Linked DNA regions of Tamandua tetradactyla. The protein of the gene in region 1 purifies or fractionates together with the protein of each later gene. This does not show direct contact. Links are inferred from orthologs where the notes say so. Each region holds a gene or a part of one and is shown on either strand. Other genes may lie near its edges.

Region 1 (6,980 bases):
AAAAAGAAATAAAAAGAAAACAAAAAATTCATACATATCATACCCATTACCCCTCCCTTTCATTGATCACTAGCATTTCAATCTACTAAATTTAATGTTTGTTCTCCCATTTATTTATTTTTAATCCATATGTTTTACTTGTCTGTCGATAAGGTAGATAAAAGGAGCATCAGACACAAGGTTTTCACAATCACACAGTCATATTGCGAAAGCTATATCATTATACAATCATCTTCAAGAAACATGGCTACTGGAACACAGCTCTACATTTTCAGGCAGTTCCCTCCAGCCTCTCCATTACCTCTTGACTAACAAGGTGATATTTCTTTAATGCATAAGAATAACCTCCAGGACAACCTCTCGACTCTGTTTGGAATCTCTCTGCCATTGACACTTTATTTTGTCTCATTTCTCTCTTCCCCCTTTTGGTCGTGAAGGTTTTCTCAGTCCCTTGGTGCTGAGTCCTGGCTCATTTGCCAGGAAGGTTCACAGCCCTGGGAGTCATGTCCCACGTAGACGGGGAGGGCAGTGAGTTTGCTTGTTGTGTTGGCTGAGAGAGAGAGGTCACATCTGAGCAACAAAAGAGGTTCTCTAGGGGGTGACTCTTTTTTTTTAATTTATTTTTTATTTATGATACATAACCATATACAAACATTCTTATCGTATGATCATTCCGTTCTTGTTATAGAATCATTAACTTACACTATCATCACATAGTTGTATATTCATCATCACGATCATTTCTGAGAACATCTGCATCAATTCAGAAAAAGCAGTAAAAAGAAAACAAAAAAATTCATACATAGCATACCCCTTACCCCTCCCCTTCACGGATCACCAGCATTTCAATCTACTAAATTTATTTTAACATTTATTCCCCCTATTATTTATTTATTTTTAATCCATATGTTTTACTTGTCTGTCGATAAGATAGACAAAAGGAGCATTAGACACAAGGCTCTCCCAACCACACAGTCACACTGCGACAGCCATATCATCATACAATTAGAGAGAGAGAGAGAGAGAGAGAGAGAGAGAGAGAGAGAGAGAGAGACCACATCTGAGCAACAGAAGAGGTTCTCTTGGGGGTGATTCTTAGGCCTAATTTTACATAGGCTTAGCCTATCCTTTGTGGGGTTAAGTTTCATATGAACAAACCCAACAAACCCCAAGATTGAGGGCTTGGCCTATTGTTTTGGTTGTCCACACTGCTTGTGAGAATATCAAGAATTCTCCACTCGGGGAAGTTGAATTTTCCTGCTTTTTCACCATTCACCCAAGGGGACTTTGCAAATTCTTTTTTATTCACTGTTCAGATCACCATGGGATTTATTGGGACATCACTCTGGTTAGACCTACTCAAGGTTCCATGTACTGTGGTGCTCAATTAAGCTGTCCACATAAGTTATATTAGGAAATGCACTAGTCAAAATATAAATTTTGTACCAAATAAACATTTTTTGCTTTAGTCTCACACATAAGTTAAAGTTTTAAAATATTAATTACCATCTATTTTCAACACCCTGCAGTATTGACATTCCTTTGTTCTTCCTCATGCAAAAACATTTTTTAATTTGTACATTTAGTTACTATCATTGTACAATCTAGGCTTTCCTGGATTATATCATCTCAGTCTTTATCATCTATCTTTCCTTCTGATTTCATTTGTACCCCCAGGCCTCCTCCCTCTATCATTCTCACATTCAGCTTCACTCAGTGTTCTAACATTATTGTATTACAGTTAAGTAGTATTGTGCTATCCATTTCTGAATTTTTACAATCAATCTTGTTGCACAATCTGTATCCCTTCAGCTCCAATTACCCAATATCTACCCTATTTCTATCTCCTGATGACCTCTGCTCTTAACTGAAATTCTCCAAGTTCAGTCACTAATGTTAGTTCTTATCAGTGAGACCACACAGTATACGTCCCTTTGTTTCTGGCTAATCTCACTCAGCAAAATGTCCTAAGGTCCATCCATGTTGTTACATACTTCATAACTTTATTCTGTCTTACAGTTGCATAATATTCCATCATATGTATACCACAGCTTGTTTAGCCGCTCGTCTGTTGATGGACATTTGGGCTGTTTCCATCTCTTGGCAATTGTAAATAATCCTTCTATAAACATTGGTGTGCAAGTGTCCGTTTGTGTCCTTGCCCTCATGTCCTCTGAGTTGATACCTAGCAATGGTATTGCGGGGTCATATGGCAATTCTATACTTAGCTTCCTGAGGAACCACCAAACTGCCTTCCATAGGGGTCATACCATTTGACATTCCCACCAACAGTGGATAAGTGTGCCTGTTTCTCCACATCCTCCCCAGCACTTGTTGTTTTCTGTTTTATTGATAATGGCCATTCTGGTGGGTGTGAGATAATATTTCATTGTGGTTAAAAATTAAAAAAAAAATTTAAAAAAAGCAATAAATTTCAAAGCACACCACAAGAATTAGTTATAGATTTCAAAGTCTGGTTTGGGTTACAGTTCAGAATTTTAGGTTTTTCATTCTAGCTGCTCCATGACACTGGAGACTAAAAGAAGTATCAATGCAATGATTTCAGCACACTTATTTGTTAAACCCTATCTTCCCTGTTATAGCGCCTTCTTCTCCTTTGATCTTTCTCTCAATCGTTAGGAGTATTTCCACTATGCCCATTCTAATTTTTTCATGTTGGAAAGGGTTGTCGATAATATGAGATTGGGGGATGGAACAAGTTATGTTACAGAGAAACTGGCCCCTCTGGGTTTCAGGACTTTTCTGGCCTTGGAAATCGTCTGGAGGTTGTAGGGTTTCTGGAAAGTAATCACAGTGCATGGAACCTTTGTAGAATCTCAGATAAAGCCCTAAGTTTAGGGTTGGCAGGAATGGTTTTGGTTGGGGTTTAGCAAACCGGAAGACAGGTCTGCTTCACCACCTCACTCACCAATAAGGTAATCAATCCATCGTGTAATTATTAACCCCTCTCCCTCTTTAAGAGGTAGGCAGGATACAATGGAGGTAAACAGACAGGTTCTGAAAGTGTCCACATCCTGGCTCTGCCACGTTACTAGATGTTACTTTGGACAGATTGCTTTACTTCTAAAAGCCTGTCTGCTTGTGTATAAAATGGGAATAGTGAGGTTACCCTTGTTATCTGTGATAACAGGTAAAGAGCTTCTTTAGTTCAGGGCCTGGCCAAATGATTGTAGTCATTTTTGTTAAGCAGTAGGACATCACGTTTAACTTCTGTATTATTTCAGACGGGTGTCAAATGTTTCATTCAGAAAAAAATCCGGCTGAACAATGGGGCTGGTCTGTGTGTGTCTGTGGCGATGGTGGGACGACTAAGAACATTCTGGTCGAGTTAATAATTATGGAGTTTTCTGTATCTCTCAAGCTCAGGGTAGAATCTAGACTCCTATCTTCCATTCAGAAGATTCAAGACATCCTTCTGATTTTCAACCCCGTCCATCAACCTCAAGGCCCTTGAAAAATCAGCTACTGCGACAGCACAATTCTGGGCCAGTGTCTCCCATTCCTGCCCTCCGATTCCACCGCTGGGGAGTGGATAGGGCTAGGACTCCTGAGCACTATATTTCATTCCAGTTCCTTAGACCGCCTCTCCTATCCCTAGCAGGGGGCTTAAGCTCGTAACGCGAGCTCAGCCGCCACCAGGTCACCTTGATGACCGGGCCAAGGACCCCGTGGGAACTCACAGTCCCCAACGCTCTCACCCATCAAGCACCCACGATGTAGTGCCCAGAGAGAAGACCTGTGTGACAAGAACCTAAAAAGAGAGACAAGGGACGTAGAGAAGAGTAGGACAAGAGAGAAAAGTTAATAATGGGAGGGGATATTGGTTTCCGTCATGCACGTTACTACCCGCAGTAACCGAGAAATTAGAAGTGGCGTCTTAAAACAATTTTAGACAGGCTTTTTCCAAAGGCAACCTCCATGCGTGCGGAACTATAGAATCGCGGAAGGGCCTTCATTCGCTCCCGTGCGCCTGCGCGCTGACAGCCGAGAAGGCGGGAGGACGAGGAGAAGGAGGCCGCCGACCGGAAGTGAAGGCAGATTCTCTTCTTCGTAGCTGTTGCCGCCGCCATACGCGCCCGCCCTGGTCAGGTAAGCTTCGGTCTTCGGTATTATCCACCTCCATCCGTACTTTTTTCGCAGCCATTTGGTCTCTTGGGCTCCGGATAACTATTCCACAGGTGACAGTCTTGTCGCCGGGGCTTACTTGGATCGTTATTTCCGTTTTCTGCGTCTCTTTTGAGAGCAAAGATCTTTTGGGGGGAGGCCGGAGAAGCTGGGGGTGGTGGTGTGCAATCCAAGATGGTGGCCCCGGCGCCATTGTGTTTCTTTTACTTTCGGGTCCTCCTTGGGTGTCTGGCTTATCAGAGGCCCCAGCTCTGATATGAAAGAGGCGGTGCTAAGCCTTTCCTGGTTTGGGCCATTTACAGAGGGCGGGGCGCTTTTCAACTTCCCCCTTTCCCCTTCTCCTCGGGGCCCTCTTTAGGCCCGCGGAGGCAACAGGGATAGGAGCCAACTTCCGGCCTCTGGTGGATTTTTCTCACCTCGACTTGCCTGCCCTTACTTGAAATACTTTCCAAATGTTTACGAATGATGTCATTGTGTAAGTGTTTCTCCGGAAGGAATCTCCCTTGCGGAGTAGTACAACGATGATGTGTGGCCATTTGGTGAAGGTTCTATTAAATTTGGAGTGAGGGTACTTCTTTCCCGTTTAATAATTAGCATCTCATTCAGCGTATGATAGAGAGATGACTTTTTTTTCCCCTGACTGAGTCATTTCTTAACCCCCGCCATTAATTACACATTGATTTTTTTTTTAAGTGGCAAAAGGAGGGTATTCAGGAATGAGGGGCTGGAGAAATCTCGGGGGAGGATGACAGCCACATGATGTTTTTCATTTTGAGCGCTCTGCGCCTTGATGACCTTTATCTATCACCCTTGACTGATGGCTGCTGTCTAGGAGGTTCACACCTTGAGATAATAGGGAAAGCACAAGGTCTTGCCTTGAGGACTTTTTAGGAATTTTCATCTTCATTCTCTATACTCCACCCCTCCCCCATTCGCTGTATTTTTTTTTTTTAATTATTATTATTCGTTTTCCCTTACTATGTTACTTACCATCTAGAGTTTATAACTGGTCTTCCTCCTCCAACTTCCTGATTTCTGCAATTCTGATCCTAGTCATGCTGGCAATCTGTGTCCTAAACGTATGTCCTGGAACCATTTTTTCCATTCCTTGTATTATAATTGCTTTTCACTTTTATGTTTTTTGTGTGTTTTCTTTCTTTCCACATAAAGGCTTCATGATTTAGGGAAAGAGAAGGATGTGGGAATGAAGACTTGAGGCTGTGAGGGCTCTACTCATGACTGATATCTTCCATCTTTATTTTTTTTTTTCCCTAGCTCTTCAGTCAGAAATTAGTGTCTTCCTTTTCCTCTACTGTTCCCCAGTCCTCTACTCTTTCTTCCTTGATTTCATCTATTCTGCCTGAACCCATCTAGAGACCCCTCCTCCCCTTCTACCCCTGCCGGCCCAGTCATGGCAGAAAACGATGTGGACAATGAGCTCTTGGACTATGAAGATGATGAAGTGGAGACAGCAGCTGGGGGAGATGGGGCTGAGGCTCCTGCCAAGAAGGATGTCAAGGGCTCCTATGTCTCCATCCATAGCTCTGGCTTTCGTGATTTCCTGCTCAAACCAGAGTTGCTCCGGGCCATTGTTGACTGTGGTTTTGAGCATCCATCAGAAGGTAATTATTCACTTGGGCATAGAGTCCTCATTCGTTGTGCTCTTTAGAGCCACAAGAAACATGTGTTTATGGTTTCCCAGGTGATAAGGTTTATATATGGGATAGGCCAAAAAGTAAGGAAGTACTAAAAATGATTTTAGCAATAGAAGAGATTTGCATAGATTAGTCTCATTCATGGTAACACGAAAGTGCTAATGATCCAAAAGTAGCATAGAGATCTGTCACTTTTAAATTTGTTATTTTGATGAATAAAGGTTGGTTGGACTTTTAATCCTCCTATCTTGGGGCCAGTTCAGAGCTCTGGAAAACTTTATGTCTGGTCTAAAGATGACTGGTTTCAAACACCAACCAAATCCATTCCTGTCAACCCTAAAGAACACTTCGGGCATTATCTGAGATTCTCAAAGTTTCCATGCACTATGATTACTTTCCAGAAACCCTACAACCTCCAGATGGGTTCCTACGCCTATTAAGTCCTGAAACCCAGAGGGGCTGGTCTCTTTAGAGTGTCAGCTAGTCCGTTCCCCCTGTCCCATATTATTGACAGCTCTTTCCAACATGAAAAAATTAGAATGGGTATAGCTCAGATACCCCTGAAGACTGGGAGAAGGATCAAAGGAGAAGGTAGAGTTATAACAGAGAAGATAGGTTTTAACAAATAAGTATGATTGCTGAGTCGTTAATTGATATTTCTTTTAGTCTCCAGTGTTTTGGAGCATCTAGACATAAAAATCTAAAATTGTGGAATTGTAACCCATACTAAACCCTAATATCTGTTCTACAACTAATTTTTTGCAGTGTGCTTTAAGATTTATTGCCCTTTTATTTATATGTTATTTTTCATAGTAATTAAAAAAAAAAAGATGGCTGGCTTCTGGGTCAGGTACCAAATCCGTTTTTTCTGAGGTTGCAAGGTTATGTGACTCAAAGCATGGCAACCTAAGTGGGAGAAAAGGCACTCAAATGTCATGTATTGTTACAGGTTAAAGGAAATAAGGACAGAGCCAGTAGCACCAAAGGTGAGCTGTTTCTAGGTGCAAGAGGGTTATTAGTGGCACTAGGTAGTCTTGGAGCTGGAGGAGCCAGGGAGGTGGTTTGGGGATGAATGTGATTGAAAGGGCCTGAAAGTTGACAGGAACCAAGAAAGGTCCTTGGAAACTTTTTTTATTTTGTAATATAACATAAATACAAAGCAACGAAGGAAAAAAGTAA
Region 2 (7,466 bases), on another chromosome or scaffold:
GAATTTATAAGCCTTCCTTAGTAATGATGAGCATGCTCTCATCTCCACATCTGATCTAGTGGCTCAGTTAGATAGTAACTAAAATATAGAGATTGTAAGAATTGTCTGCATCAGGTTAGCTCTTATTTTCACTATGTGGAAATCTTCATATTTGAATGATCAGTGGAACTAACCTAAAACACTTTTCATGACTCTTGGTGCTATCATGGTAACTGAGAAAAGGAAAAACCAGAGTTTAAATCAATAAATACAGCCTCATATGAATATTACATATTTTTCATCACTGGTGTGTTGTGGAATGAAGTTAATTGTATGGTTATATGCTGTACTACATTAAACTCAGTTATTCAGTATATGAGCAAACAGGAAGAGTAAACAACCAGGTTTTCTGTTTATTTTAGATAAACCACTTTTATCAGTTATGACAGGTTGAAATAAGGTGTTAAAAATAATTTCTAATGTGTTCTAGGATTGGCAGATATTCAGATTGGGCTTCTACATTTTCAGGATGACTATATAAAAACTGTTCACAGTGATGAACCTGAGGCCTTCAAGATTCAGAATTACTTTCACATATACAACTTACTTACAAAAGGCCTTTTCAAAAATTTTTACACTGAGCATTTTAAAAAATGTTGAAGGAGTAAATTAGCTATTCTTGGAACTTTATTATTGTTAGCCAAAAATTTGTCTACCAATCTCAATTCTTAACCATTCTGTTCTGAAGAACTGAGGTTACTAACATAATAAGGCTGAAAATGTGCCTTGCTACTGGCAGAACTATCTTTAAATGGTATGGTAAAATTTCACAATTGCTGAAGGTACATATTTGTGGGTCATGCCTTGCTTTCAACTGGGGACAGTAATAATTCTTGGAGGTGAAAAGAGGCCATTCTACATATTTAGAGAAAGAGAAAAAAACCCGCCAAACTCCGTAACAATCATTCCCACAGCCTCACCCTCAGTTGCCACTATCAGTTGGGTGAAATTGCCTTTTCATTCTATAGATCCTTTCAAGTTTCTTGTAATTTTGTTTTTGGATGTGACTTGGCAACTCACTTATTAGGGCCATAATTCTATGTAGATATCTGTATTGATGTAGATAACTTTCCAAGATGACTTTTTAAGGTAATGTTATGAGCTACTTCAACCCTCTGCTGGGATCTGATTTAACCTATACAAAAATAGAGGAGGGGTCTAAACAATGAGCCTAGATTCCAGGCTAGCTCCCCACAGGGCTATTCTTGACTTTTGACTGGGAACATATCTAATCCCTATACAGAGAAAAGACTCCCTATAGATCCTATTGCTGTCCATGATACATTGTAAAACTTGATGTAAATTAGGTTTAAGTCAAGCCTGAGTAGTGAATGAGGTCAAGAGTATATGCTGAGGTTCTTTTCGTATTAAAATAAAAAGGCCATTACAACTTTTTTCTTGCTTGTAAATGCTTAATTTATTCTTTTTTTGTGGGGTGAGGTGGGGTAGTTTTGCCTTTGTTCAATGACTTGTCCAGGGTTAAAATCTGTGGGTACTGTATGTTGATGATACCTGAGCCGAAGGGATATTCATTTTCTCACTGGCCTTTGATAACATTTATTTTACTTGAAAAGATAGAGACTGCGCTTAATCCTGGTGGGATTCCTATCAGTGGCCCTAGCGGGCTGAGATGTTTAAAGCTGTTGTTTAAATGTCAAAACCACTTATCTTACTTGGATGTTGCTTGCTATAAAGTACATCTCTTTGGTTTCACTAGAATTTGAATTCTCATAAATAGTAGGTTAATTTTAAAATTTGGCTTTAATCTTTAATGTTTGAGAAATGCTTTTGTGACTTTCACAATGCAGCTAGCGCAAGCTGTTTTTAAAATGTCAATGTAAAAGGCACGGGTCTTAGTGCAGAGCTGCTTAAAGATGAATAGCTTCAGAGGACTCCTACAAAACACACACACACACACACACACACACACACACACACACACACACACACACACAAATACAGAGACAGAGAGACAGAGATAGAGAGGCCAACCAATATAGTTTTGCTAATGTAATGGCACTTGCTCACAGCACGTACCTACTATTATGAACATTCTGATAAAAATAACTTCTGATAGAAAGAACTTGACCATCTATTTTATTAACATGGCTACCTCACTAAAACATTTTATGGAACCAGAAGTCTGGGGTGTTAATTCATTCACAGCAATAGTCCTTTAAAAGACCATGTCATGTTGGAAAAAAAAATCAGGGTAGCTGGGTTTGTGTTCATTGATTTGTTAGGTTATCTATTCTCATTTCTAGCTTAATGTAGTGCCTGAAAACAATGCCTTGCAGGGGTGCTAAGGTAATTTATCAGCCTTTCTGGGTTCTAATCCAACGATTCACCTAACTGCTGCCTCCACACCATTAGCAAGATCATACTATCAAATGAAGCATCTCCTATTACTCCCCACCCCCCACCCCCCACTCCAATTAGATCTTTAAAAGGAATAGTTGTTTTTGTTTAATGTTTACCATCTGGACCTTTTTCCTCTTGAAAAACTTTGAATTTATTGTTTTGAAAGATATGAGCTGAAATATTACAAAGTGAGATGTTAGATTACAATTTTATTTTTTTCTTTTAAGTGATTTCTGAAAACAATGCATTCATTAGATTTCTATGTACGATGATAACACAGCAGTCACTTTAACAGAACCTCAGTGTACTTTTTGGTTAGATATTCCATGCCAAATATCTATGATACAATCAATGATTTGGGGATTCTAAATGTACTTAAAATAAAAAATGATAGCCAATATATGATACATAGCTCCGTGTATAACAAAATTATGAGACTGCAAGTATAACTTGATAAAACTGCTGAGTGCAATTTGAGTGCAATAAAACTCCCTTTTAAATTTGGAATTAAAAAATTTTAATTTAAAACTTGTCTATTTCCAAAAATGATTTAAAAGCAGATTAATATTAGACTAGTATTAGGTCCTTTCAAATGTTGCAGAATAGAGCATAATTCAACGATTTAAACAAAACAAAATGAAATTTGCCAAGCATAAATATTGTTACAACATGATGGCAAGGCTTTTCTTTGCAGAACAGTCTCTGCTCACTCACCTGCCAAAGATATTCATCTCATCTGCAGTATGGGAGCTATTTAGTATATTGGGCAAAACGCTAGACGCTACTAAAACGATTAACGAAACGTTTTTCACTCTATATATTGCTTAATATTCAAACCAAAATTTTTTATCCGATAAGGTTTTGTGTTCTTTAACTGAAAATAGTAGTAAAGATAATTGTGTAAATGAGCTTTTCCTCAAGATTTTTTCTGGGAAAACAAAACAAAATACATCTCTTACAAACTTGAAATGCACTGGACGAAATAATTTTACCCTTTACTGTATTGGTGAAATTGCGAAATATCGTTACAATTTATGCTTCAGCAATAAAATAGTGGGAAGGATATTATTAATGGATAACGAACGCCACAGATGCTTTAATGCTTATGAGAAGAAACGATGCTAAGGCTCTGAAGCGCTTAATTCCCAAACACTGCTAACCTACAAGCATTGTTGAGGTGGCCCTACCGAAATACACGGCTTATAGTTAATCCCTTTCTTCCAAGAGTGTACATTAACTACATCGAGGAAGACTCTTCATCCTTAGCCTAATTATCTAAATCCTTAAGTCTAAAAAATTATTTGATATGGCTAAAAAAAAATGCCTTCGCTACAATTTTTTGTCCAGTCCTCCAGGTTATTTATGAAACTCACACTCTTTAACGACAAACTGACTGCCAAACTAGGATATATGTCCGCCAAAACGTCCGCAGAAACGGTAAGAAAAACTATTACAAGGCCAGCTTGAGAAAACTTCTAAATGGCCTTCACTGTCTTTTGAGCCAATTAACACCCAAGGAGAATACTGGTTCCAGTTAGAATGCGCGCGTCAGTTTCTCCAAACCTCAAAGCAGCGTGTGTATAAGGGTAGGGATTTAAAAACCCATTTCATTTTCCCTACCCCCGCTCCCGGGGAAATAAGACACCACCTACTATATGAAACTAGGCGGGGGAGGAGTGCCGCAGCAAGCTGCCAAGAGCGCCCTGCAAGGACGTTTTCCTGAGTCACGGGGAAGGCGGGAGGTTGGGCCCATGTACCCACGTTACGTCCTCTTCCTAATGGACCCAGCTTAAATAGAAGAGTGCCAAACGAAAGGAAGCAGCACCCGTACTTCTTCAAGGTGGACCAACCGCCACCTCGTTCTCCAAAGAGCCGCATTCCCCCAGAACCCACTTTCCGTACTGACCGCTATCTGCAGACCGTTCCCTAACAATATCACGTGCACCCGGAAGTACGTGGGTGGAACCCAAACCGCCCACGGAAGTGACGTCGATCATCCCGAGTCGCATGATGTGGCAAAATGCAAAAAAAGGGGGGGAGGAATTGGAGTGGGCTGGAGAAAGTGATGAGTCTAAAAAAGTAGTCCCCTCGGTTCCTCTATTTATCCTAGTGTCTCGACAGTAAATGAGAAGCGCGGCGCACTGCGCCTGGAATTCCTGCGCCGTGCTGTGCCGTCGCACTCCGTGGAGGGGTACATAAGGAGGAGGGGGTGAGTCGACTGGGAGGAGTTCTGTCGCCAGGATCCCTCCGCAAGGCTCAGCCGTTTCCGGAGTTTGCGCTGCGCTCGGTTCCGCCATTGCGGCTCTCCCGGCCCCTGGAACCTCCGCCCCCGACCCGAGCTCTTTCGTCTGCCAGCCAGTTACCTGTGTCCCGGGAGAGTATCCTCCTGAACCCGGCATTCCCCTCCCCCTTCTCCTCCTCTCCCTAGGAGAGTCCGGGCGGTCGCTGCACTACAGCCCCAGTGACAGGAGGACACCATATCCCCCGACAGCGCCATGGCCCAGATTCTGCCGATTCGTTTTCAGGAGCATCTCCAGGTGCGTCTGGTTCCCGGCTGGTGAGGGCTGCGGAGGGGTTGGTAGAAAGGAAGGAAGAAGCTGTAGAGTGGGCGTAAAAGCAGAAAGAGTTGGGTCGGTGGTGAGGGGTGGGGGTGGGGGGTGGGGGATGTTGGAGCGTGGAGTAAATGGAGGAGGGGACGCTATCTTGGAAAGCTTAAAGGTTTTAAGAAATGATTTGGGGATTGGATGGAAAGGACAAGATTCGGGATGCAAAGGGCGATGAGGCCAGGCCTGGTTCCCAGGGCCTGTCTGTCTTGCTTCCTCAATCGCAAGAACTGCGTGTCCCCACTCCCCTCCCCCCCGCCCTTTATTCAGTTCATTCATTTGGGTAGGTGGGGTGGGGGAATGAGGCAGATTATTCCGCGTTACTCTTTCGGCAATGATTCTCATCACTTCCTGGGACAGTGCAGTGCTGTCACCTTCCATTGCTCATCTCCCTTTCCTCTGTGGTGTCTGCACCTTGGAGTTGTGGGGCGGGTGGTTTAGGGAGGAGCAACCTTTTTTTTTCTTCCTCTCTTTGCGGTTCTTAACAGGGAAGAGGTACCTTCTGGCGGTGGGAGAGACGCGGCTTCCTTGCCTTCCGCGAGGCAGTGGGAACAGAAGGTCACAGAAGGTGTAGAATGTGAAAACGTATTTCTCAGGGCGGTGTCTATCTCAGGGTGCATAGGGTCAAGGTTCCTAGGGGAATTTAGCCTTTTTTCCCCCCTCTTTCTCATTTTCTCTAGGTGAGGTGTGGCACTTAAGCCTCTTTTTGGTTTTAGGAGGTTAGAAGGAGTTATCTGGAGGTTATTTTGAGGTCTGCTGGAGTTTAGCAGATATTGTGGTTTCTCATTAATTCCTCCTCCAGGATTGCATGGAATGGAACAGAGCCCTCGGGGTAGTGCATACCTGCTTCAAGATATCCAGGGTCTGTAACTGACTGCCCTTTGGTAGGTTACAGAATTCTTCTGACTATGCCTTATTCTGAAAGCCACATACTGTTGTCTTATCTGGCATCATGCCCATGGCAGTGGAGGCAGATGATCCTTTAGTGGATTAGATGAAATTCTTTTCAGAGCTTTTGACTTCCTGGTTCACCAATCCTGCTTCTACTTGTGTTCATTTTGGCTGAAATAATTCATTCATACTAACTTGCTGACTTCCCAAATACCCTATTAAAGAAACCAGGTCAGTCTTCTGAAGAAAGACTAGTTTCATAGTGATAGAATACACAGTGGTACAGAATATACACTAATTTTAGTAAACTGTTGGACACTTTTCCATTGGAAGGCAATTTTATTTATTTTCTCTCATTCTTATAGCATACATAAAGAATCCTTGTTAATAAAAGTTTTATTTTTCAGGCTATGAGTAACATAATTTCATATTTCTTTACAGGTGTTCTCATTTACTTGCATCAGCAAACAGTTTTTTTCCATTAAGACTTGAAATGTAATGAACAATAAAATTTTACACATCAAATGAATTAGTGCACTTTCTTCAGTCATCAATAGTTTGCAAATAACTCATCTGAGGTAATAGAATATACATTGGCAATAACATACTATTTTACAAAAGATTACAAAAATATTAAGTGATAGATGGACATGGAGAAGTTACTTTTCATTCTCAATCCAAGTTTAATTACTGTGGTTACCTCTAAAAGTGGGGTGGTAAATAAATGTGGAGGGTTAGAAAAATACTGTTTTGGAGTGTGAGGTGAAAACACAGCTCATCCTTATACTGAAGTACGACTGAAACATGACTTTGCACACAAATGTTTGGTAGACCATATATGAGAAACAAGTACAGTTGCTGTTTATTTTACATGGTAGGGGTACAGCCCACTAGCACATCTTCTTCATTGACTGGTGGTAGTTTGTGTAATAGTTTTTCATTTTTATTAAGGAGAGAATTGTTAAGTGACCTTAGAGATTAGAATCCCAACTGTGCTGCTGTTTGAAGACATTAGATACACTCCTGATTTCTAAGTGGTTCCATGTTTCTGCAGATACTTGAGTGAAGCCATTTTCTACTCAAAGATTTTGAGAATAAAGTAGCTTTGCAAATATACTTCAAATTCAGCTATCCATTTTTTGAGAGATACATAGTGCCTAAGTTTAGTGTGATTGTGGCTCCAGCTGACATTAACTGCAAAGATTCAAATCACTGAAGTTTTCCAGGATAATATATTTCCTGACTTCCCATTTTTATCTCCTCCTTTATTTTAATTAACAATTTTGGTCCTTGACCTCTGAGCGTCTTTCTATTGCTAAGTAGCAAAAAAACTTTCTTAAAGATAAAAACTGGGAACAAGAAATGAGGAACTTGTGTGTAGAGTTTTAGCTTATTAAAGTTTCAAAAGACAAATGAACCTATTTTATAGCCTTTACCTATATTGACCAGGTGAAGAATCTGTAATCAAAGCTTGGACCTACATTGAATGAATGTTTATATTCTAAGTTATACAGGAAGTTTTGTTTTGTTTTTTTAAAAGGATGTTTAGGCTGATAGCAGTGAACAAATGAG
Region 3 (7,976 bases), on another chromosome or scaffold:
AAAAAATTCATGCATACCATACCCCTTACCTCTCCCTTTCATTGATCACTAGCATTTCAAACTAAATTTATGTTAACATTTGTTCCCCCTATTATTTATTTTTATTCCATATGTTTTACTCATCTGTTGATAAGGTAGATAAAAGGAGCATCAGACACAAGATTTTCACAATCACACAGTCACATTGTGAAAGCTATATCATTATACAATCATCTTCAAGAAACATGGCTACTGGAAAACAGCTCTACATTTTCAGGCACTTCCCTCCAGCCTCTCAGTTACACCTTAACTAAAAAGGTGATATCTATATAATTGTGTAAGAATAACCTCCAGGATAACGCCTCGGCTCTGTTTGGAATCTCTCAGCCACTGACACTTTATTTTGTCTCACTTAGACAGCCACCTTTCTTGATGGCTCAGCAAAAGCCCCAGGGCTGGTGCTCATTGGACTGCCGGTGGGTCACGTGTCCACTCCCCAGCCCCCATCCCCAGGCCATCACCGGGACCCAGCCCAGGCCATCACATGCTCCTGCTTAGAGCCCTATGGTGGAAAATCAGCCAGAAGACAGTGGGGTGTGGGAGCTGAGCAGGCCTGGGCTGGAGGTCCACCCTCCATTTCCCCGCCTCCATGTCCCAGAGCCGCTCCCCGCCCCGACTCCTCCCCCAGACCCCATCTAGCCTAAAGAACCGCTTCTGACCCAAAGTCCAGGCCAGGCCAGCCCCAGATATAGAAAATGGGCCAAGCTAGCAGGGGAAACAGGGAGATCGGGTGTAGTGTGCTGAAGTGACATGGGACAGACCCGGGATCCCATCCAGAAGGTGCCATTAGTTAGCTGTGTGACCCAGGGCTAGTTACTGCTCCTCTCTGAGCTTCCGTTTTCCTATCAGTCCAATAATAACAACCAACACACACACACACACACACACACACACACACACACACACACACCATCCACTCTGGGCAGCTACCGTTTTAAGCACTTGAGATCTTGTTTTACAACCCTTAAACTGAAGCTAGAGGTAGAGAGCACAATTATTATCCTCATTTTAGAGTCAATAAAGATGAGGCAAGAGATCAAGCAACCAGTTTAAGTTTCCACCGCTAGCAAGGTCTCTGGTGGTTGATGGCAGCTACATGCCTGCCAGGAATGGAGTTGTAGTAGCTAAGGTTCTCTAGAGAAACGGAATCAATAGGAAATATCTGTAAATATAAAATTTATAAAACTGTCTCATGTAACCGTGGGAAGGTAGAGTCCAAAATCCGCAGGGCAGGCTGTGAAACTGACAACTCCAATGGAGGGTCCGGACGAACTCCACAGGAGAGACTGGCCGGCCGATTGCCGGCCGAAGCAGGAACAGAGGAACTATCTCTTCTGAATCCTCCTTAAAAAGCCTTCCATTGATTAAACGTCACTCATTGCAGAAGACACTCCCCTTGGCTGATTACAAATGGAATCAGCTGCGGATGCAGCCGAGTGATCATGATTTAATTCTATGAAATGTCCTCATGGCAACAGACAGGCCAGCACTTGCCCAACCAGACAAACAGGTACCACCACCTGGCCAAGTTGACACATGAACCTGACCATGACAGGAGCTAATGTGGTTAAAGGGGCCAGCCCAGTACTGTGTACCCAATTCATGGGAAGTACCATGGGCATCATTACCCTGAGAAGAAGGAACACTTTGGGAGGAGCTGCTCGGAGGGAACTTGGAGAGGCAGGATGAGGGCAGAGAAGGTTCCACCAGGTAGCCAGTACTGGAGAAGTCCTGAGGCCGACAGGCAAGTAGGAGCTTGAAAGGAGAAGGGTGCAGTGGGACGAAGGAAGTGGGGTTGAGAGGAGGGAGCATTCTCATTTCCTCAGCCCCTATCCAGTGACGTCTTTATCCCCACAACATTAACAACGAGGAAGCTCAGAGAGGGGAAGTGCTTTATCCAAGGTCACTCAGCAAGTGACCAGCTTCTGGAACCAAATGCCAACTTTCAGAAGCCCTTCCTTTTTCCTGCCTTTTCTTTCTCCCCACTCCAGCTCTCTGGGCACCCAGCACCCACAGTCCAGCCTCTGAGTATGTGTGGGAGGGAATGACACATCAGGGACTTTGAAGGGTGATCCTTGCTGTGGCGGGACCGTGGACAGGAAAGCCTGATGGGAGGATCTCCAAACAGATACCCACCCCCATCTGCCGAGTCTGGGAGTCTGGGATCCGGGGACGGGCTGATGGGAGACAGTTCGGCAGAGGAGAGTGCTGGTGGGGACTTTAGGAAACCAAGGGCTATGAGGCATCTGAATTTGGCCATTTAGGGGTCAGTAGTGATCTTGACCAGAGCAGTGCGAGAGAAAACGGGGGAACGGGGAGACAGATGACAGCAGACAAATTGTGGAGCGGAGACAACATTGGAAGGGAGGAGGGTAAGAAGGCCAGGAGGGGATCCAGGGCCTGGGAGCCAGGAACCCGCTCCTTCCCCCCTGAATATTAACAGGGGAAACTGGGTGTGGGGTCTATGCGAACTCTGCATTATCGTCGCAATATAACTCTCCTAAAATTAAAAAAAAAGTTTATTTAAAAAACAGATGGCTCCTATTTGGAATGATGGAAATGTCCTGATAATGGTTGGTGGTGATGGTGGCACAACATGTGGACGCAATTAACAGCACTGACATATATAGCTGATTCTGACGATTAAAAGGGAAAACATTAGGTTGCATATATGGTAAAGGAATGAACTTAAAAAAAAAAATCCATGGAACTACACTACACAGTGGACCTTAAGTTAAACCATGGACTTTAATTAATAGAGCAATTATTAAAATGGGCTATCAGTTATAACAAATGTTGCACACTAATGCTGGGTGAGGTGGTCGTATGGCATATGGGAATGCTATATATTATGCATGATTGTTGTCAACCCACAACTTCTCTAAACGGGGGGAGGGAGTTATTACTACAAAGATATCTAATAGAATAAAACCATAAACTATACTGATTTAAAAAAATAGATGACAAGAAGTGAAAGTGGGTGTGGCTGTAGAGTTTGTAGGTGGCAGGTGGGGAGGGCAGCAATTTGAGGAAGGGAAAGCATGCAGGGTGTACAGGGCTTCCTTTTTTTGGAAGCAAAGTAGGATGATTCGGAGGCCGGGGATGGGGCCAGGAAGAGGGAAGTGGGAGGAGTTCTGAGCTAGGACAAGTCAAAGGAAGCAGGAAGGGAATGGAGATACCCTTTGCCTGTGTCTCCCAGGACCCTGCAGTGCAGTTTCTCCTCCTCTACCCCAAGAAATCCCCCTCTTCATACCTAATCATGTAATGATGGAGGAAAGCTGGAGCTCAGGTCCCCCTCCCCAAACCCCTGTGGCTGGTCGCTCCTCCCCCCCGCCCCCCCAGCCTCCACCCCGGCCATGTCACCCACTCCACTGTCTCCGCAACCGCCCCATTGCTCTTGGTTTCCTATAGGTGGGCCTCACTCCAAGCAGGGGCCGTGGAAGAACTTTTAGGACTGGGGGGTCCATGGACACAGGGGGCATCAAGCATTCCCCACCTCGGGGGGTGGGGGTGGGGGGGCTGTGACATGTTTTGAGCTTGAAAAGCATTCCTCCTACTCTGAAACGGTGGGAACCGCTGCTGGGGATAAATGTACAGGCTGTTCTCTCTCTCAGTGGGGCAGATTACCCAACTTGGAGGACCTACTAGAGCCACCTACCACCCCATCCCTCTGCCAGCTGAGACCTGCTCCGGAGCAGGTAAGGTCGGCTCCGGTTTTGTCACCCCTCCCCTGGGAGATGGGGTTCGGAGGCTTTGCGGGAGGTAGAAAAGGCTTCTGAGGGCTGGGGAGGGTTTCACCAGTCGGCCCCAGCGAGGAGCAGAGATGTACAGGAGACCCTGCAGGAGATTTCTCTGAAAGCCCAGCCCTTCTGTGCTCAGAGCTTTGGGAAACAAAGGTGCCAAGGGGCTGGCCCAGTAGCATCCTTAGAGGAGCCCTGCCCTGGGAGTCTGGGGTTAGCTGCTGTTTCCGGAACTCTACTTGGCATTCCTCTGGGAAGCCTGAGGCTTGGGAGAGAAGGCAAAGGATATCCTAGGCCAGGCTCCATCCAAGGCAGCAGAGGAGCTAGCTGGCCAGGGATGGGGAGCTTCTGATAGAGGTGGGGCATGGATGGGGTGAGAGATGGGGAATGATGGCCATTTCAGTACGGAGCTGAGGTTGGGGCTGACCCAGTCACAGAGGCAGGAGCCCTGTGACTGAGAACTGGGCCCAGGACAGGACTGAGGGAGTTGCAGCTGGGTTTGGCTGACCAGGAGAGGAAGGGAGGTGCTAAGCCAGGGGTTGGGAACAGAGGTGGGATGGGTTGTATTTGGGATTGGGATGCAGATGGCCTCAGAAAGTGATGGGAATGGACTAGGAGAGGACCTTTCCAGGATGAGGCAGGGCAGGAACTGCTATGGAAATTGGGCTGGATTCGGGATTTGGAATAGGAATGGGCTTTAACATGGGATGGAATGGACCAGGGGTGGGGGTGAGATTGGGACAGCAAGAACATCAGCAAGGGGCTGGAATCGTACTGGAACCGAGTGGCCTTGGGATTGGGATGGGGAGAGCCAGGAGAGGGATGGAGTGAGGCTAGAGGTGGGGGGTGGCGACTGGAATGTGGGTACGGCAGGGCCAGGGCTGGGGTTGGGAGAGAAGGTGAGGTCCCCGGGTCGGAGATGGGGTAGGGGAGGGTTTTGTTGAACGGGGGTGGGCCGGGACAGGAGACCGCAGGGGTAGGGTCCGAGCCCGGGGTGCGGCGCGCACGGCCCCGCGGCGAGGGGCGCGGGGGGGCACCCGGGGCACGCCGGGAAGGTGGGGGGTGAGGGGTGCGGACCTCCCCCTGGGCCGGGCTGGGGCGGCGCTAGGACCGAGCGAGAGGAGGGAGCGGAGCCGGGCGGAGCCAGCGCCCCCCGCCCCCCGCCGGCCGGCTCCCCTCCCCCGGCCGCTGGCTCGCTCGGCTCGCAACGCTGCAGAGGCTCCGAGGCGGCGGCGGCGACTCTCCCCTCTCGTCGCTCCCTCCCATCTCTGTCCGTCCGTCCGTCTGTGCGTCTGTGCGTGCGGCCTCGGTCCGGCCCGAAGCATGGCCGGCGTCAGCTTCAGCGGCCACCGCCTGGAGCTGCTGGCGGCCTACGAGGAGGTGATCCGGGAGGAGAGCGCGGCCGACTGGTGAGCCCCCCGCCCCCGCCCCCGGCCCCTTTGTCCCCGCGCCGCGGCCGCCGCGCCTTTGTTCCCCTCGCGGCCCGCCGCCCCAGCGCCGGGAAGGGAGGGGGAGACCCCGAAATGGTGCAGCGGGCCGGGGAGGGGCTGCCTTTGTGCGCGCCGGGGGGAGGGGCCGGGCCGGGCCGGGCGGGGCGCAGCTGGGCCCCGGGCTCCCCGGAGGCGGCCCTGGGCGAGCGGCGGGAGAGGTGGCCGCGCCCGCGGGCCGGAGGGACGCGGGGTCCCGAGGCGTGTGGCCCGGGGCGGGGGTTGGGGGGGACGGCGCCAGGGCCCCGCGGGCGCCCCTTCCGCTGCCTCCAGGGCCCCCACCCCGGACCCCGTGGGACAGGTGTGCGCGGGGCGGCCAAGGGCACCTTCGCCACCTTCGAGAGGGCGAGGGCCGGGCGGGGACGGGGCGGGGACCGAGCTAACGTGGCTCAGCCCGGCCCGGCCCCAGCACAAAGGAAACCCAGGGCGGGGGAGGAGCGGAGTGGGGCCGGGGGCCGGGGCGCCCCGCCCACTGGGGGGGGCCGGTCTGCGTTGGCTGCCCCCACCCCCCAACACCTGAGCGGAGGTGCGATGGCATGACGTTTGTTGCCACATGGCGAGAGTGAAGTGACTCCTCTTGCCTTCACGGGGCGTGGAGGAGACAGGGACGAGCCCCTCTCTCCCCAGCCTGATGGGAATTGCAGGAACCAGGCAGCTGGCTTGAGAGATAGGAAGGGGAGGGGGCCAGCTGGGGTCGCTTGGAGGAAACCCTCAGGCCCACAAATGCAGAGGGAGCCCTCAGTGAGAGAGGCGGGGGTGAGCTCCTCCACTGGGACCCCCTTAGCCCCTCCCTCCAGCACCAAAGGGGCACTCTGCCCCCTTGGTGTGGGGGTGGGGCTGGGCCGCCCTCTCCCCACCCTCCCAGCTGTTGTTGTCGCCCCTGAGCTGGGGGAGGGGCTGGACCACCTGCTCTGGGACTGGAGCCCCCGGGGCTGGCAGGGAGCTGAGAGGTTTCACTGTGCCCCATCGAGGAATCATTCCCCCAGAATGCTCTTCCTCCCCGGGCAGGTGCCCACCGTGTTCCCGAGGCTTTTTTCCCTTGCCAGCAGTCAGGAAACAGGCTCTACCCCCTGGGGAAACTGAGGCATAGAGTGAGGCAGGTTTGAGGGGCCTCCTTGGGTTGGACCTACCCTCACCCTGGGTAGGGACCCCTACCTGGGGGCTGGAGGTGGGGATAAAATGGCCAGGCGTCCATGCCACGGCATTGCAGCACTGGCGGGCAGCCAGGCCTGGAGGGATGGACGCGGGAGACAGACTCTCGTGTCCTGCAGGTCAGTCACAGGAGAGAGGGCAGCGCAGGCGAAGAGGGCGGGCAGCCCACCCGTTATCCCAGCCCTGTCCCCGGGGGCTGAGATCATGGGAGCAATTCAGGGCAAGTGGCCGGCTTGGCCCCGTGGAAGAGCAGGCCTTGGGATACCGGCCCTGCCTTTCAGCCCCCGTGCCTGGGGAGAGGCACATCTGATCTCAGAACACCCCACGCCCTCCAATCTGGGGCCTGTTTCTCCCTGAGTCCCCAAAAGCAGAGCTCTGGCAGCCCGGTGCCACAGCCACACAGCCACTGCTGCCCTGCATTCTGCTCAGGCTCCCACCACCCGGCAGTATCCATGTGGCCAAAGCGAGTTATTCATCAGTGGTGTGCGTCACCCCCCATCTGGGTTGTGTGTGGGACACACACACAGATGCACACACGTACCCTAGCACGTACACATGCTTGCTCACACCGTGGGGTCTGGGTAGCATTTTGCAAAAAGGATGTGAGGACTACATCCTGCAGAGGGGGGTATGGGGGTCCCCCAACACCCAGCCCAGAGTCAGAAGTTCAGTGGGACTGCAAGACTTGGGGGCAAGATCCTCCTCGCAGAGGCCAGAGAAGGGTTGTCTTGGGTGAAATTGCTGTCTGGACAAAGGAGGTTTGGCAGTGCCCACCCTTACCTTGCCTGTTGAGTGTGTGTGTGTGTGTCGGGTGGGGGGCAGGATCTCACTCTGAAATAGACCAGGGGTCCCAGGAGGTCAGGACATGTAGCAGGAAGCGCCAGCATTGTCCTGCCTCTGACATGACTCGCTGTGTGGCCACCCACTAGTTCCTGCCCTTCTCTGGTCCTCTGGAGGAGAGACTGGGCTCCACTTCATTCCTCCTTAGGAATCTAGAGTTCCTAAGGCCTTTACAGCCCTAACATCCTGAGAGTGCAATGGAGTGGGCAGTCCTGACAGGCCCAGCCCCACCTCAGCACTTCCCAGCCCCTGGTGATCCGAGGATCTCCCTGGAACTGCTACTGCCTCACTTGTCCAGTTTCTCTAGCCTAGGTAGTTTCTAAGAGTTTGGGTCAATATCACAAACACCTACTGGCGCTGCTGGGCCGGACCTCGGGACCCAGAGAGCAATATTAATTGGTTGAGTCAGAGTTCCTGTCTTCATAAAGCCTGCTCTGAGGCAGTGTCTCCAGTGGCTGGACCTGGTGAGATGGGTAGATTCCTGGGCTTTCTCAGATTCTGATCCCCTGTGCTTTTGCCAACTCCCACCCACCCCAGGGTGCCTCTGATGGGTTTAAGAAACACTGCTGGTCTAGTGGGATCTGGGGTGAGTTCAGATGTCTTCAGATCCTTGGTGGGATATGATAACTCTTGGAGGTGTGGGAGGGCCGGGTTTCTCCAGGAGCTGGCATTGAGTCCCCAGGGACTGAAGGATTTCAAACACAATGGGAGGTTGGAG
Region 4 (7,788 bases), on another chromosome or scaffold:
TGATCTTTTCCCAAGGTTGAATTTCTTTTCAATTTTTTTTAAAAGAGAGCTTTCTTTGTCTTATCAAATAAAAACAACTAAAAAAAAAGAAACAGTAACAAACGCTTAGAGTTAATTCTATTGCTAGCATGCACACCGATATGCTTTTGTTTCCATATTTTTCACAAGGGTGGCAAGATTTCACTTGTTTTAATTTGAATTATTACATGCTTTCTTTGAGGTAAAATCACACCTACTTATATTCTTTTACTCCTGTAATTTGATAATTTATATTTTTCACTTTCAAATCTTAATAATAGTCTTTCTGCTCCTGTATTCATCCTATTTCTACCAAACAGGCTGAGGAGAAAGTAAAAATGCCTTTGTGGTTGATGGATTTATTATCTATTCTTGACAACTGTTAGAACAACTTTAATCTGCTCTTCTCAAACTCAAAAGTTGTTGATTGATTGACTTTTGAAAAGAAGAATCAGGAAGGTAGAAGTATTTTAAAACCTCATGGTATGTCTTTAGGGGGTTGGATGTTTTAAATTTATGAAAACTAGGTTAAACTAGGCATTTTTAAAAGGGAAGAATGGTTTTTCTCTAGAAACATTTTTGGCATCCGGATAGCTTCTTTTAAGAAATATATATATTTCTATTGAGATATTTTCACGCGCCATATAGTTTATCCAAAGTATACCATCAACAGCTTACAATATCATCACGTAGTCGTGTATCTATTACCATGATCATTTTTAGATTATTTGTATTACTCCAGAAAAAGAAAGAAAAAAGAAAAAAGAAAAACTCCATACATCCCAGACCCTTTACCCCTCCCTCTCACTGACCACTAGTATAGCACTCTACCCAATTTTCTTTTACCCCCTAACCCCTGGCCCCCCATTATTTGTTTGTTTGGGGTTTTTTTCTTATTTTTTTTTATTCATCCTGATAGTTTCTTGGTTCATTTTCTTAGTATTTATTAGGTTACGTTCACTGGTTTCTAACATTTCCTTTTCTGAACTTGCTGAAAAACAGGGAAAAAGCTCCAAGTGTCTCTACTATGTCTGGTGTTCCAAGCATCTGTTTGCATATTCCCGGATCTTTATGCTCGCGTGCTAGGAAAGAAGGAAGATGAGAGCCAGACCGAGTTAACTGCTCACCCTAAAGACTGACATAATTATCACATAAATGTCCCTCAGCTTAGGTACAAGAAAACCTTTACTTTGCGCCTGGCTTTTCCTTCATGATTTATATTAAAGTTTTTGTGGTCCTATAGTATAAGTTTTTATGGTCCTTTCAAATTGTTAATGGCAGAACAGTTCCTACATATCTAAGTTCCTTATCTCTTTACTGAGAGCCAGGAGTTCCAAAACCTTCTTGCTAGCAACTCTCTCAATAGCAGCACTTTTTCCCTACTTTTCCCTAAAACTTGGCCACCTTCCAAAATCAGGAGGTCATAGAATTCCCCCCACTATTCAAACCATTTATTTACATTTTGTCTTTGTGAACCTGCCATCTGAATCTCTGCTATTTTTGAAAAGCTGGACTGGATAGCCGAGGTCAGAGGCCCCATTACTGCCAAACTATCATAAGCAATCACATTGGAACCTAAAATCAGATGGGCAAAATAGAGGAGTAGGTTGAAAATGTGTCACCATGCCAGGTCCATATACTGTCCATTGTGAAGGGTGGATTCTCCAGGATTTTCATCACACTAGGCTATTAAGGCAGAGATGGTGTACCCGGTAGTTTGTAGTAGACAGGGTGGAGTCAGCCTGCCTGGGTTCCTATCCCAGCTCTGCCACTGTTCCGAGGGTCATTGCTATATAACAACCACTCTGATGCCAATCTATTATTTCTATTAGTATTGTTGTATCTCTCATTGTTCTGAGGACTGACTCAGCTCAGTTAAGCTGCTTTCCCTCTGGGTCTCTCATGCAGTGTGACCAGTCAGCAGCTGGGCCTGGGGTCATCTTAAAGTCTCACTAACTCACAAGTTGATGCTGGCTGTTGGCTGGTCCTTACAGGTGCTGTCAGCCAGAGCACCTACCTACACGTGACCTTTCATGTTGCCTGAGCTTCCTTCCAGCATGGTAGCTGAGTCCCAACGGTGAGTGTCCTGAGAGAGAGAGAGGTGGAAACTGTATCTTATTTTATGAACCGGGCTCAGATGCCAGTAGTGGGGGTAGGAGGGGGTCACCGTGGCAGGCCTAACCCGAGGGACTGGAGGCAATGCAGGACTCCGATATGGACACCGAGTGGAGTGACACCTTACGCAAAACGGGCATCTTGTCCTCAAAGGAAAGTTTGAAAGAATCGGAAAGGGAGTCAGAGGAGGAAGTGAAGGGAGTCCTTCAGTATTCAGTTGTGAAAACTTACGAAGATATGACTTTGGAAGAGCTGGAGGATAATGAAGATTAATTTAGTGAGGAGGATGGACATACTATTGAGATGTACAGGCAGCAAAGACTGGCTGAGTGGAAAACCACTAAACTGAGGAATAAATACGGAGAAGTTTTGGAGATCTCGGGAAAGGATTATGTCCAAGAAGTTACCAAAGCTGGTGAAGGCTTATGGGTAAATCTTGCACCTTCACAAACAAGGGATTCCCCTCTGCGCCATCAGTGAACTTGCAAGGACGTTTCCTGATGTCAAATTTATCAAAGCCATTTCAACTACCTGCATACCCAATTATCCTGCTAGGACCCTGCCCACAATATTTGTTTGCCTTGAAGGTGACATTAAGGCTCAGTTTATTGGTGCTCTAGTGTTTGGCGGCATAAACCTGACAAGAGGCGAGTTGGAATGGAAACTGTCGGAGTCTGGTGTGTCAAGACAGACCTGGAGGAAAACCCTAAGAAACCAGTTGAAGACGCATTACTGTCCTCAGTGCAGTGCTCCGTCCCCACCAGGAGAGGCAGCGAGTCTGAGGATGACTAAGGCAGAGCTGTGGTAACTGGCTGGACTTTCCTGATGTGAGGAGCCATCCGGACTTTTAGAAAAAGGAAAATGGAGGAATTCATCCTTCAGTTTTTAGCCTTTTATAATTATGTTTAAAGTCTTACACAACTCAGAAATAATCATCGTTGGGAGTCTTATTACATTTTTTGCAACTTTCTTTATAAACTTATAGCATATCCCTAAAAAACAAATAAATAAAACACAGCTTTGGTGTGTTTAAAAAAAAAAAAAGTCACATAGCATCACTTTAGCTGCATTCAATTCTTTAGACCTGAGTCACTAAGACCAGCCCATATTCCACAGGAGGGTAATTAGACTCCACTTCTTGATGGGAAGAGTGTCAAGGAATTTGTGGACATGTCTTAAAACCAGCTGCTTATTAGCTGGAAGAGTTCCCTGTCCTTGGCTTTCCTCACCTGTAAAAAGGCATGAGAGTAACTTCTCTTACAGGATTTTGTGAGGATTAAACAAGTAAAAGAACAGTGCTTGGCATCTGGTAATTATTAGCTTAGACAACTCTCACGCCTTCTGCAGATCTGCAGTGCTGCTGCTGGGGCCATCAGTGGCAGTGCACTTCCAAGCAGATACGGTCTGGGGAAGAGCCACCTTTCTAAACTATACCGGTTACATGTGACAAACCCCAGTGCCTGTGGTCCTTATTTGTCCAGGATCAGAGTTACTATATATGGTCTGAATTCTTTGGTTCACCTCATTTTACTGACAGTTCCAGATATAGGTCAGTTCATTTAAACCTAGCTCCATTTATGGCAATTTATTTCATTATAGGATAAAGTAGTTAGACTCATGAGTAATAATTACTGTGTCTATAGTGCTTTTAACACCTTAGCCAGGTAATCCTCACCTCTCCCCAGTGAGTAAGTTTGGATGAGCAGCCCTCCCTCCCTCAGGGATGAGGAAACCAGGACCTGGGTCAATTAGGTGGCTTGTTCTAAACTTTGCAATAAAGCAAGAGCCTGGCTGGAGTGAAAAGTGGGGTCCTGATTCTCTGGTCCGTCCAACATGCCCCAATAACACGTAAATTAACATCCCACCGTCGATTGTTACACAAGCTAATATCAGACATACATGTGTATTTAAACTTTCTTTTAAGCTCTTTTATTTTTCTGCAATACAGAGAACTGACCAGCGTCTACTTAGCATAATATGAGATTAAATTAGTTCATAGATAATAAAAAATCTTGGGAGTAAAGGCACATTTTGCCGTTCACGATACTTTTTTTCTCTTTCAGTTAAATTAATATGTTCTGAAATTCTTGGGTATCCGAGGTTTTTTTGCTAGGGGGAGGAAAATTTGAGAACACGCTCTTTGCGGCATTCGCCCCCCAGGCTGGTTTCTAATTGTCAGAGCCCCGACCGCCCGCTGTCCCTCCACCCCAACTGTTAAATTTCTAATTGGATGGTCGTGAGTTCGGGAGCAAATCTGGCAGACGGACCCTGCGTTCCACCGGGGCTGGGACTGACGCCACTCCTTCCCTCTCTTTTCCATTCCGTGCCCGGGGCGAAACAGCCTCTTCTAGGCTGACCCCCCGGGCTGCGGGCCCTAGGACTGCCAGGCGCCTTGGCTGCCGCCTGCGCTCACCTGGGGGCGCTGTGAGGCCAGCCCCGGGCGGCCGGAGGTGAGTAAGCTCTGGAGGCGGCGGCCCCCGGGTCCTGCCGGCGCGGAGAGGGGCGAATCCCAGGCAGCTAGGTCGCCGCCTCCGCCCCTCGGCCCGGCCCCTCTGCCTGCCGGGGAGAGGGGAGTGGCCGGGCGCCTCCCGCCGCTGCCGAGCACTCGGGAGTCCAGCGCGCACAGGATCCCCAGCCGCGGCGCGAGGAGGCGGTGTCGCAGCGCCGGGCGCGCAAAAAACGGCCGACAGCCGCGGGACAGCTACCTCCGAGCAGCCGCAGGCGGGAGCATCGCGGGGGCCGCGACGGCAGCTCTGCAGCCTCGGGTTGGACCCACGTCCCAGAGCGCCAGGAGAGGGAGGACGACCAGGAGGCGGTGCGGCGCCCTGCGAGGTAGCGCGAGCGCTTTCCCTGTGTCCCCTGCCCTTCCCGCTAGGTCCGGTCACGGCCCACGAGGGGCAGTGGAGCGACGCCCCGCGCCTTTGTGCCTGGGGTCCCCGTGGGGCGCGGGTCAACTGGGTCTGCGGCTCATGGGGTGAGGTGGCGTTGCGGCCAGAACCCGCACACGCTGGAGATCGTGCAGGGTGGCGGTGACTCCTCAGATACTTTGGGGGGGGGTGGGAGAGAGGAAGGGCTTGTAAAGCAAGTTGCTCTTACTTTGCCCTGTCCGCCTAGTACCTGTGAGCAGAAGGGAAACCAGATTTTGCTCTTGTTCACCCACACCCGCGCCATCCCCTTCTCCCACAGTTATTTCCTGGCTCCCTGGTTTTGTGAAAGGATTTGGTGTGCTCTCCTCGGGGAAGGAAAGAGGTGGGAGAACAAAGGGTTGGTCTGGAGCGTGGGGTTCAGGTGCGGCGTGCCCCAGCGGCGGCCGGGAGAAAGGGCAGAAAACCTGATGGGGCTCCCCGCGCGTGCAGCTGCGCTGTCCTCCTTTGTTCAGCCGCTGCGGAGGGGGCTACCCCAGGTCGCGTTTCCTGCCTGGGATGGGATTGATTCACTGTCCTCGAGAGGGAGGGGAAGGGGCGGGGCTAGAATGGAAACCAGATTAGGGAAGGGAGCCCTGAGGGTGCAGGGGCCAGCTAGAGGGTTGGGGAGGGGGTGATTAGAATTCACTGAGGAGTTGGTTATGTACACGCAACATTTTTGAGCAAGGGCTTTCTGGAGCTTGCTTGTATTGCTTTGTTCAGGCTGCGGCCGAGCGTTTATTGCTGCAACAAGTTGTGTGCTTCCTTGAGTTCTAAGCGCTACCATGCTGAAATAAAATCTTGTTGGTTATAATGAAAGAAGTTGTTTTTTGCCATGAATCAGTGTATTTGTGTGTATGTGTGTTCCTCTGGATCCTGTGTGCAGCCAGTGGAGACTGACTCACATGGTAGAAGGCAGATGTTATAGGATCAATTTTGACTTAATTTTCTTTATTGTAATATGGTATAGCATAACAATTTTCCCGGAATGTTTGGGGGGAAACCACCAGAAAATTAGACATTGCTAAAAAAAAAATAATAAAATGAATTAGGTTGTGTAATGCTGAAGCTGAAAAACCCTTTTACAGTTTTTCCCAGAAAACACACTGCACTCACAAACCTTAGGGTTTTAAGAGTTGAAGAACCAGGGATTTTCAAGTGTTCCGTGCTTTCATTCTCCCTGTGTGGATTGTCTGGAATAAGAAAAAACCACTTACTAGTAGGGTGAATGGCATTTTTTTTTTTTTTTTTTTTAGGAGGAGGTAGAATTAAATATCATATGTCTGGCATTTGTTAAGGAACTCTTTCCTAGATTTGAATCAAGAAACCCAAGAGGACTGGCTGACTTTGGTAGCCTTGGGGGATTGAACGATGTGTGCTTTTTGAATGGCAAAACTTTTCGGGGAGAAGGCTGACATTTCCAGGCATTCATGGTTTGTGCCTATGGGACATTGGTGGAAGAATCCCAAAGTCATACTGAAGGTTAGAATTACCGTGGTGAAGATATAGGAGACATTCAGTTATAGTAGTCTTGTTGCAGAGAGGGTTGGGAAATGGTTTAGTGCTGCCTCTTTGGCAAACCTGAGTGTCCACTATTAAACCACCCTTTGGCCATTCACTTTAAAATGAACCAAGTTTGAAAGCATTTTAACTTTAGAAGGCAAATCAGGAGCTTACTCCTAGAAAAAAAATGTTTCCTGCCCATTAAGTGGTAATGGAAAAGAACTGTGCAGTGTACTGCTGAGGGTTTGGCTTTTTCGCAGGGGATGTGGTCAGATTTTCAGGCCAGGCTAAAAAGCAGTGTGGTACTTGTCCTTAGGGGCCATTATGATGTAAAGTCGGAGTGGAATGTTGTCCAACCAGCAGTCTGTTTATCATTATAAGTAATACACTGCCTGGCAAACATTGTGCCAGGGCAGCTAACAGAGGGTGACTTTTTTGTTATGGTTGTTTTACCATTTTGGACTTTTCATTTATGTTTTGTAAAAAAAAAAAAAAACATAATCGGATTCCTCCCAAGTACTCATTGTAATATACATTAACAAAATACAAAGTGTAAGTCCATTACTGCTACTGGAGACCCTCATCGGGGAGCCTCTTAAATCGCTGGTGTTCTGGCCTCTGGCTGCCCCCATACCCAACTGTGCAATAAAGCTGGCAACAGGCTGTGCCCCATTCACGGAATGAATCATCACTTTGTCAAGCTTGGAGTTAAAGATGGATTTCCTGGTTGCTGCACAGTTAGGCGTAACAATGAGGAGAATCTGACATCTGTGGGGAAGGAATCTATACCTTAGTAGGGAAATTTGGTTGGAGGTGGGGTATATTTGACTAAGAAGGGATCTTCGGAATATAGCATCCATGTTTTTGGTATTTGTCCTTCTTCTGGATGAGAGTCTTCTCTCTTTCTCCCTCCCTTCTGCTCTTTTCAATAGCTGAGCTTTTGGATTTTAGTTAAATAGCCTAGCAATACCTAACAGGCATCATTTAGTAAGTGCTTACTATGTGCAAAGGGTTTTACATACATTGTTATCTTAATTCTCACAACATCTTGATAAGGTGGGTATTGGCTCCATTTTACAGTTGCAACTGAGGCCTAGAGAAGTTAAGTAACTTGCTTCTTACACTGTACTTGTGTAGGTAACTTGTAAGTGGCGGAGGTGAGATTTGAACTCCAATCCATCTCATTCCAAAGTCCAAATTCTTTAACTAGCACACTGTATGATATGATAGCTTTTAATAGTAGGTATGA

The links.
Region 2: the proteins of DDX39B (region 1) and CLTC purify together in Homo sapiens (affinity purification with mass spectrometry, with the first as the bait; 3 studies listed by BioGRID). This does not show direct contact. The link is inferred for Tamandua tetradactyla from reciprocal best matches to the Homo sapiens genes DDX39B and CLTC.
Region 3: the proteins of DDX39B (region 1) and DBN1 purify together in Homo sapiens (affinity purification with mass spectrometry, with the first as the bait; 3 studies listed by BioGRID). This does not show direct contact. The link is inferred for Tamandua tetradactyla from reciprocal best matches to the Homo sapiens genes DDX39B and DBN1.
Region 4: the proteins of DDX39B (region 1) and MYO1B purify together in Homo sapiens (affinity purification with mass spectrometry, with the first as the bait; 3 studies listed by BioGRID). This does not show direct contact. The link is inferred for Tamandua tetradactyla from reciprocal best matches to the Homo sapiens genes DDX39B and MYO1B.

What each region holds. Positions count from the first base shown.
Region 1 is NC_135331.1:87,132,442-87,139,421, reverse strand, and holds the start of DDX39B (spliceosome RNA helicase DDX39B), read left to right. Parts: upstream 1-3,979; 5' UTR 3,980-4,110; intron 4,111-4,214; exon of another isoform or gene 4,215-4,621; intron 4,622-4,897; exon of another isoform or gene 4,898-4,969; intron 4,970-5,421; 5' UTR 5,422-5,557; coding exon 5,558-5,768; intron 5,769-6,980. UniProt on the Homo sapiens protein: Involved in nuclear export of spliced and unspliced mRNA. Component of the TREX complex which is thought to couple mRNA transcription, processing and nuclear export, and specifically associates with spliced mRNA and not with unspliced pre-mRNA.
Region 2 is NC_135332.1:40,809,961-40,817,426, forward strand, and holds the start of CLTC (clathrin heavy chain 1), read left to right. Parts: upstream 1-4,451; 5' UTR 4,452-4,609; intron 4,610-4,619; exon of another isoform or gene 4,620-4,828; 5' UTR 4,829-4,895; coding exon 4,896-4,937; intron 4,938-7,466. UniProt on the Homo sapiens protein: Clathrin is the major protein of the polyhedral coat of coated pits and vesicles. Two different adapter protein complexes link the clathrin lattice either to the plasma membrane or to the trans-Golgi network.
Region 3 is NC_135346.1:59,234,123-59,242,098, reverse strand, and holds the start of DBN1 (drebrin), read left to right. Parts: upstream 1-4,960; 5' UTR 4,961-5,102; coding exon 5,103-5,188; intron 5,189-7,976. UniProt on the Homo sapiens protein: Actin cytoskeleton-organizing protein that plays a role in the formation of cell projections. Required for actin polymerization at immunological synapses (IS) and for the recruitment of the chemokine receptor CXCR4 to IS.
Region 4 is NC_135329.1:165,006,649-165,014,436, forward strand, and holds the start of MYO1B (unconventional myosin-Ib), read left to right. Parts: upstream 1-4,774; 5' UTR 4,775-4,965; intron 4,966-7,788. UniProt on the Homo sapiens protein: Motor protein that may participate in process critical to neuronal development and function such as cell migration, neurite outgrowth and vesicular transport.